Linked DNA regions of Arabidopsis thaliana. The protein of the gene in region 2 interacts with the protein of the main gene of each other region in a pairwise test. Each region holds a gene or a part of one and is shown on either strand. Other genes may lie near its edges. The genes, in order: NF-YC11 and LEC1.

The links.
Region 1: the proteins of LEC1 (region 2) and NF-YC11 interact in a two-hybrid assay, tested with the Arabidopsis thaliana proteins (one study listed by BioGRID).

The regions. Positions count from the first base shown.
Region 1 is NC_003074.8:3,955,800-3,961,020, reverse strand, and holds NF-YC11 (nuclear factor Y, subunit C11), read right to left. Parts: upstream 3,259-5,221; 5' UTR 2,957-3,258; coding exon 2,924-2,956; intron 2,187-2,923; coding exon 2,114-2,186; intron 2,023-2,113; coding exon 1,929-2,022; intron 1,611-1,928; coding exon 1,476-1,610; intron 1,388-1,475; coding exon 1,330-1,387; intron 1,232-1,329; coding exon 743-1,231; 3' UTR 549-742; downstream 1-548. Other genes in the region: CYSB (cystatin B), read left to right, coding at 1-75, 361-498; AT3G12470 (Polynucleotidyl transferase, ribonuclease H-like superfamily protein), read left to right, coding at 4,236-4,898.
Region 2 is NC_003070.9:7,727,071-7,731,521, forward strand, and holds LEC1 (Histone superfamily protein), read right to left. Parts: upstream 2,580-4,451; 5' UTR 2,502-2,579; coding exon 2,450-2,501; intron 1,345-2,449; coding exon 680-1,344; 3' UTR 507-679; downstream 1-506. UniProt on the Arabidopsis thaliana protein: Component of the NF-Y/HAP transcription factor complex. The NF-Y complex stimulates the transcription of various genes by recognizing and binding to a CCAAT motif in promoters. Acts as a central regulator of the embryogenesis.

The DNA.
Region 1 (5,221 bases), on a different chromosome or scaffold from region 2:
GTCAAGACCATTCAGCAGAGGTCTAACTCCTTGTTCCCTTATGAACTTCTGGAGGTTGTGCATGCTAAAGCTGAGGTATGGCTTTAATTTACTATATACTCTATCTTCGATCTTAATTGCACAAAATGAATTTCAATAGAGAACTTGTCAGATTTTGACAATGTTTTTGCATGAATTTCATCTGAGAAATTGCAAATAAACGAAATCAAGTGTCAGTGAAACCGAATGGTGTTGAAGTTTTAGAAGTAGAAAAGACTTTAAGCAACATATTGGTTCTCCTTGGTATGAGGACTAACGTCTGAGTTGTAATAGTTGGTGATTACAAGATTAATGAGCTTAATATTAAAAACATGGACACAGGTAACCGGCGAGGCTGCAAAATACAACATGCTACTGAAGTTGAAGAGGGGAGAAAAAGAGGAAAAGTTCAAGGTGGAAGTTCACAAGAACCATGAAGGTGCTCTTCATCTCAACCACGCGGAGCAACACCATGACTAGTCCCTCTCCTTTGTTTATGTACTTTTGAGTGTTTACTTACTCTGTAAGATATTTTAACTTCTGATGTAAAACTCTAAAACCTTAAATAACAAATCAGGAGAATAAATTAAGTTTCATAGAGTGCATGCAATCTTTGGTTCATACAATAAATGGAAACAGGAGAAGATTTTGATGACAGAAGAAGCATTTTCTAGACAAACTGCTAAACGCTGCTACTCTATATATCCTATAGTGCTGTTATGACTTAGCCTTCTTCGTCATAATCTTCCTCATCCTCGTCTATCCTCTTACCCAGACTAGCAAGCTGTGCTGGATCCATTTTGCTTATGTCCATCATAGGCCAGCCCGAATACTCCTCAGAGTCTGTTGCTGCAGTTGTGGTTGTGGTTGTGCCTGTGGCTGGTGCCAGTTTGGTCTCGTTTAGGTCGAGGGATTCAGCGTTGAGATCAAAGTCAATGCCTTCTTTGGGACTTTGAAGGTGTTGCTTGGTGTCTTCGTTCGATGCTGCTGTGCCGTCGATGCCTTTCTTCTCATCCTCTTGTGGTGATGACTCTGACGCATGCATCTTGACATTGTCTTCTGGTGGTGGCTGTCCAGAATTGGCGGCTTCTACTTCCATCTCGCGGTTGAGACCCTCTCTTTCGGCTGCTTTTGCAGCTCGTCCACCACGACCTCTTCCTCGCCCTCTTCCTCTACCACCCCTGCCACTGGTCTTAGCACTCCCTATCTCTTGCTGCAGTGATTACCAATATATTCAATGAATCTAAGGAGCTGGGAATAGACACCAAATGAATGATGAAGTATAATATTTCAAGAAGAACACGAGCTCACCGTTTTGCTTTTCTTATATTCCTCGTCACTGTCATTCACTTCATCGCTGATGGGCTTCCTGTTTTGATAAACCATCTCACATCAGCTTGACACGGACTATAAACAAAGAACTAGAACATATGGAACTAAGAGATCAAACATCCAACCTTCTCTTGGAGATGCTGCGATCATCCATGGTAACATCACCATGTCCTTGCCCTTGGGAATGGCCATAGTCAGGCACCTTACTCACAACTTCCCTCAGAAAATCAAACACGTTATATCTTTCCACACAATGTTTTCTGTAAACAACAAAGCACTTTGATAAACATGGATGAGCAAAAATAAGAACTTTATCCCAAATTTGTGGTATAAAATTCTGTAACAGTAAACAACATCCTCTCGGTGTTGGATGCAGTGAAAATAGGCCCTATGAGTTGGAAGCTATTCCGCTTAACAACATCATGTTAACTCTTAAACCACAATATCAATAATTACAACATCTGAAAGCTCTAGAATTTAAAATGCATTCAAGTGAAACCTTTCATGCTCTTTAGATAATGACGATGCTAGCATGCAGAGTTAAAGCAAAAATAAAGGTAAACCAATCTGTTACTTACAGGTGCAATGAGCTCACAGTCTTGGCACCTCTTTCAAGGGTAATTTCATATGTACGATCACAAAGGTCTTGCAAGAACAACTCCAAAGATTTTGCTGTAATAAGAGAACATGAAATTTAGCCAAAGGGTAAAGTTTCCAATAATTCTCTTTTCAAACTGAAGTCAATGATAGCAAGATGACTTACAGACTAAGACAGGCACTGCCAAAGCTATCTTGCCAACATCCTCATCAGCTTGCATAATCTTTTTAATACGAGCCTGAAAAATTGTAATATATGCATCAAATGAAGAAACAGCAACCATCACACAGTGTGTGTGGCAATAATTACAGACTACTAAACGAATTATAAAGCAAATGGTAGAACTGAGAAACACCAAGCACGCTCTGTACAATCACCAATCAGATTATACAAACAAAAATATATTAACAAATTAAATGGAAAGTCAAAATCTGTGAAAAACTAATATTCTAGCCTCAGCTCAAACAAAATAAACCACCATCAACAATAACCAACTTATGAAATCATCTGACGTTTTATTCAATAAAGCTAAACAAAATCTAGCTAGCCAAATTGGAAGCTCTACAAAAAGTTCCAAGCCTATGAAAAAACAATTCGTGTATAACATCCCTGCTTCAATCAACACTATCTAACCAATAGCTGACTGGTTTGTTGATAAAGAACACGTTTCGAGCACTAGTCACCTAAATTCTCGAATTCTCTAATTTACATGAAACATTCCATAGCGGATCTTCATAACACATATTACTATAGCTATATAACAAGCACAACAAAAATTAGGGTGAAATTGACTACTAGGTCATTTGCTAAAACTAATTCGCCAGAAATGAGATACTTAATCTAATTTTCATCGTAGAACACTAATCTAATCCCAAATAGTGTTGGAAATTCGATCTGAAAAACAACAGATCAAAGTAATTTCCGAGAAATTGGACTTCAATTTCAGAAATGATCAATTAGAGACGAAAAACTTACAGCTGGGAACCGAGTATCGAGCTTCTTCCTCATGGTTTTGAAATCCCCAAATCCAGAAATCGTCGAATGAGAAAACGCAAAGCCACCAAAAATAAGAAGGAAAAAAAGGTAAACCCGACCCTTGAGATCAAAAATTGAGGGACGCGAATCTTCTGTACATATACTCCGTTCTAAGATCAGAAAGTAAGTTTCTTCGTCTTCTACTTCATGGATATGCACTATCAGATCCGGCGACGGCGGTTTCCTTGTTACAATCTCCGTGCGATGGAAAAATTAAAATTAAATATATATAATCAAATTAAAGTTTTGGGTCAAAGAAAAAAAATGGGTCGACGACATGGTTATTTAATTAAGTAATGTTAGTTATAAATATACGGCGGAGCACAAAATATAATCGGATTGTTTGAAAAGATCTAACCATACACGTGGCTATGTATTAGTGGATTGTATACGTTTTCTCGTGACAGTATTAATTCTTAGATCTTCATCCACCTTCTCTATTTTTTATTTATTGGATTTTGTTTGAGGATAATGCATCCTTGTAAGTTGTAACACATATGCCTGAACCAAAAAATATGTTTTGGGTTACTTTTTTTTATCACAATTTAAATAAAATAAAGTTAGAATTATTTGTCTTCAAGTTGAATTTAGATACTTATAAACCAAACTGTCGAATTTTAGAAAAAAAAAACAGAAACCACCTTTATTATAAAGTGTGATAAAACAAAGTGGCCTATGTATCCAAAGTTCCAAACAAAATGTTGTGGAATTTATATTTACAACTTTTTTATTTTTTCAGAAGTTATATTTAAAGTTACAAAATTTTGTCAAACCAATATATAGGAAAAAATATCAAGAGTAATTGCGTCATAGCGTTATACGTTGAAAGTTAACTTCATCAGTAATTATGATTTTACATCAGTGAATCATTGTTCGTGAAAAAAACACACAAAAAAAGGTTATGGTTATCTACCTAATTAAGCCCCCAAATAACTGAATAAACTATTTTAGTAAAAAGAAGTACGTAAAAAAGTATTATATTCCATGTCTTCATCAAACCTTTATGGAAATAAAAATAAAAATTCAGAGCCGTAAAATACAGTAATTAGTAAATGTTTTGCGTATACATCTATGATAGGCCTGACGATGTGACAGTACATGCATCTCCATTGTCAACCGTACGATTAAAACTACAAAGATCGACGGTGATTATAACTAGAAACAAAAATGTACCCTATAACAAGAAAAAGAAACCGCTTCTCTTTCTAACACTCGCTCAAAAATTTAGAGAAAGGAAGAAGAAGACAGATCAATGGCTCCGACGATCAAAAGAATCAGAAGTTTCCGTACTCACCAAAAACACTTTGTCGATTTTTTCGGAGACGACTTGATCGTCACCGTTACGCCGACTGCTTCCGTTATCCGCCGCTGGATTCGTAGCGTCCGCTCCTACAACCGTAATCACTCGGTACATCCTCTCGTCGTTGGAATCGGTGTTCAGTGGAGACCGGATAGTTCCGATCCAGATCCACCACCAAAAACTCTCCAGTTGTGCGTCGGTAGTCGCTGTCTCATCATCCAACTAGGTTACAATTACGGTCTCCCAAAAGTCCTCCGCACTTTCCTTGCCGATCCCAAAACGACTTTCGTCGGCGTTTGGAACGGCCAAGACCAGAAAAAACTCGAGAAATGTAGGCATCGAGTGGAGATCGGGAAGCTTCTGGACATAAGGATGTTCGTGAGAGATTCGAGAGGGGCTAGGATGTGTTTTTGTTCGTTTGAACAGATCGTGAAGGAGCGTTTGGGTCGCGTAGGAGTGAGGTTAGATCCGGCGATTTGTATGAGCGATTGGGGCGTTTATAACCTTAACCATTATCAGGTACTTCAGGCGTCGATTGAGTCGTATGTTTGCTTTAAGCTCGCTGTTGAGGAACGTCTCTGGAACTTAAAAGTTGCTGCTAATCTTGTGATTTGAATTTGTTGTTGTTCTTCTCTCTTTATCAATCAACGTCTTCTTCTAATTCATGAAAGTTTTCATGTTATCGTATTTTGTGACTATGAATGTTGACTGGAAAATTAGTACATGTAGACTACGTTTGTAATAAAGGCATTGATATTAAAAGACTATCTAACGTTTTGATTAAAAACAAATACGCTTTGATGAATTATATTATCAATTTTGTTTAATTTGACATGGGACAAAAAAAATCACGACGTACCAAATTGGTCAATCAAATGTTTTTGCACCCAGTTAAATGATTTCCGATTTTTAAACTGGATATAACCTCAAGCAAGATC
Region 2 (4,451 bases):
AAAGCCAAACAATAACCGGAAATTAAACTTGGAACTAGAAGAAACAGAGCAAGCATATGGGTTTCAATCTAACCGAAAGATAACCACCCAATAACCGGAGATGAACTTGAACCAGTTACAGAAAACCATGGCTAAGGTCTTTAACTCTTAGTCTTAGTAATGATCCTTGAAGAAGTGTAGGCAGAAACAGAGAGCGACCAACGTTATGAATCCTTGGAAAAGACAGAGATGGAGAAACCAGAGAGCAACGAGTCAGGATCACCCTAATGAAACTCAAGCACCCAAAAGAAAGCAAACTCAAAGAGGATATAAATCTTCAGAAGTTTGACAACTCAACGAATTTAGATTTTATAATCCTTTGGCTTAGTTGTGTAAAACTCAAAAAAGTCAATTAAACTTGGTTCCTACAATGTTTAGTTATCATCTAACTATGACAGCTTTTGAATTACAAAACCTTTAGATCATGTAAATATATAATGTTGCATAGAGTTTAATCCACAAAACAGTTTGGGTTAAATCATTTGCATATATAAATCAGTTTCTCATAAAGTATTGAAATACAACACTTTTCCTTAAAGAAGCAACATTATATAGAAATGTTATTGATAAGACATAAAAATAAAATATCTATCCAAACACATGTTTTGAACAGATATAAAAATGAAGAATAATTCCATCTTCACTTATACTGACCATAATGGTCAAAAGCCGGCATTCCGTTAATGGAAGACGAAGAGCCACCACCAACACTGGATTCATCTTGACCCGACGACCCGTTTTGGTAGTACCGACCACCTCCCATAACCATGGATTGGTCCAACATACCATAACCATAAGGACCCGGAGGAGGTAGGCCATGAGATGGGCCGTGAAACCCAATACCATTTCCTCCATAGGTTTGTCTCAACGACGGTGGCTCACCTCTAAGTGCAGAACCACGATCGGTCTCTATCTCACGGTACCGGTTAATGAACACGGTGAGGGGGTCCACGTAGTTATCGAACCCAAGCTTGCTCATAGCCCAAAGGATATCTTCAGCAGTTATGGTCTTACGTTGCTCACGTTGGCAACGCTCGTTGGCTTCACCGGTCACGAAGCTGATGTACTCGGAGACACATTCTTGAATCGTTTCTTTGGCGTCGTCAGAGATTTTGGCGTGAGACGGTAAGGTTTTACGCATGATTCTTATGACGTTTGCGATTGGCATGTATTGGTCTTGCTCACGAGCCACACATGGTGGTTGCTGCTGGACCACGATACCATTGTTCTTGTCACCGGCGCCGGCTACTACGACTGAGCTGGTCATTGGGGTTGGGTTGTTGCTGTGCTGGTCCAAGTTCAATTCTGTTCATAGAAAATACAGAGAGAAATTGAAATCTTTAGGAAATAAAAAAGATTAGTTGAAGTAGAAATGATGATTAAATTTGTAGGATACGAATGGATTAGAAGAAAACAAGAGAATCAAGGGACACGTTCTTAGTTACGGACCAATAAGATAAGAGTAAGTTTGTGGGGTCTACATTCTAGACTTATGGACCCCGTTGAGTAGACTGTTCAGATTCTTGCCGTTACGTTTTACATGTATACCAAAAAGCTTTCGCTTAGATTATTAATTAGAAAAACCAAAAACTCAAAATTTGGAGAAGAACATCAATTAATTTATGTAGACGAAGGTATGACTCAATAAAGTAGACATTTATTTCATGTGAAGGTTCCCAATGGTAAATGTTGAAAGAATCAAAAGATTGGAGTTAATGACATCCAGTAATTAAAAAATCAATAGTAAAAGGAAAATTTGGAGAAAATTTCACTTAGTTTTTTTCCAAAAAAATTACTGATAGATTTTGAATAAAAAAACCTCACACTAAAACTTGGGACTAGTATAAGATATATATATATATATATATAGTTTAAATGTTAAGTACTAAAAAAATTTGAGTTTCTATTTTTTTAGTGTTTTTGAATCACATGAACCGTAGATGTTTTTAGACAAGGGAAGAGACAAACGAGAATCTCGTTTTGAAACGAAGAAAAAAACTCAACCGTTACAACAAAGAAAAAAACGTTTTTAGAATCGAAATTTTTTTTGATAAAAGAAAGAAAACGATACTCAAAAACATTCCTGGTACATGCACGGGTATATTCAATGAACACATACGAGAGATTTGTTTAACTAATACCACACCATGGAAATATTTGGATAAAACTTTGACTCAGCCATGATGAAACAATACATATCAAACTCTTGCATGTATGTATATAAAATCGTCTTCTCCGGGCCATTCCCAAAACCTTCACAAATCTAAATTAAAAATTTCTAGAAAGAAAGCATTTAGTTCGTTGTTGCAAAGTCTCATAAAATTCATAAAGCATGTCTCCAATTTTTCATGAGCATATAAATATACATGGAGGCAAGTATATACTGTATAAAAATAGCCACTTAGATTACCAGAGATGGATTTTGGTAGCTGATAGTGAGAGAAGGGAGCTCCACGTTCCATTGTTTCTCTGCCGTCTTTTTTTTTTTTTGTTCTTTATAAAATAATTATTTGAGTGATTTGTTGCATGCAAAGAGAGGTTGATGGTTGAGTGGTTTTATAGAGAGATGATACAAATGGCAAAGGAGGCGGTTCTTACGAGGTCTATATCTCTTTCCCATTGGCTTGTCTCATTGGCTATGTGGCCAGTCAAACTGCTCTTCTCTCATTGGTTGTTTTTTTTCACAAATTACCAAAGTAATTAAGTAAAAATAAAGACTATTAAGAAAGAAAGAAAGATAAGAAGAAGATTTTTATACATATGAGGCTCTCTTTGTTTATATAAATTAAATGTTGTTTAACATTTTCTATTTATTTAGTCAATAAAGTATTCGATTATCGAACGGCTGAGAAAGATTGACGTGACGTTATTTTAGTCATATATTTTATTAAAATTTAATAAAATATAGGTTTCACTAAATTCTTTGTTTCTTAATTAATGAAATTGAAAATTAGTTTTAAAAAGATTCTCTTACTTAAAATGGTAAATTTTGGTATATTTGAATAAATATGCGTTACGAAAGTGAGTTATCACGTTTATTGTAATTTTTATTTAAATTAGCCTTTTAAAGTGTTTATAGGAAAATTACAAAAGGTTAGTACAAGATATTGGTGTTAGATGATGCATGTTACAATTGAATATTGCTTTACATTTTCTAATACATAATTAATCAACAAATAAAATAAAACCAACACCCTAGTAATGGAATGGTGGATAAAGATTTTTGAAAGATGGAAAAACATGAAGAATTTTGGATAGAGTTTACGGCCCAGTCCATGACCTGTTTTGGATCTAGCCCATACTAAAAACAAACCAACGAGAATTAACAAAGAACCAATATTGAATCTTTCCTGGCCAATGACCTCTCATTTCAAAATGAAGTTTAGAACTAAAATAATCTTACGCATATAAGATTATTTTAGTTATCATCAGTATGAAATCTCATGGAACTCTGCTAAAAGTTTTTTTTTTCTTTAAATGTTTCCATTCACTTTGCTTCCCTTAAAGATAAACCATTTTGAACATACATCTTTAGCAGAATCTAGAGAGATTATAAATAAAGAGGCCACATGCAGGTGGAGCAAGAGCAAGGAAAGGATAGCTAAAGAGATAGGATAATACAACAACTCAGTTAGGAGGCGGTGAATTGGTAAAAGTTTCATTGCAATTATACGCTCAACTTTCAAATAATAAACTAGAAGATTTACTTATTCTGAGGTTAAGGAAATATGACTTCTGGTAAAGGAGAGTTTGGTGTTGTCTACCATGATTTTCAATATATTGAACAAGCAGCCCATAAAGTTATCTCTCATTGCAGAATTTTTTGTAAGCTTCTTCGCATACATCATGAGTAGCACCTTTGACCATCTTCAAACATTGGTTTGGAACGCAATGTTTTGATACAAACTTCTATCGTGCTTGAGTAAGATATATACTCGTTCTATATCTTTTACCATCTTTTCAAGTAGTTTTTTCTTTTTTCAAGTATACCAACTTCTTTTTTCATATATAGTATTCTGATTTCTGAGCAACCATTTCTAATTAATTGTAGCTCGTAAGCTCTTTATTAAATTTAACTAAAAATCTTAGTTATATCATTATAAATAACGCATCGCATGTAGATGAAAGTATATAAATAATAACTTGTACACATGCACGTTTGAACAATCCTTAGAACAACCAATATATTTTTATCTGCATTACAACTGGCAGAAAAAAAGATTATGATGCATCTAATTACTTAAATAACCAAACTATATATAATAAGAGATGGAACAGTTTGGTAGATCCGGCGTTGAAATGACAATCCCGTAGGCTTAATAGCTATATCATGGCCATATGTTACCTCAATGAGAAGAGAAGAAACATCGTTACGTGAATATCTGAGCTTCTCTCGTGTATCCTTGCTTATT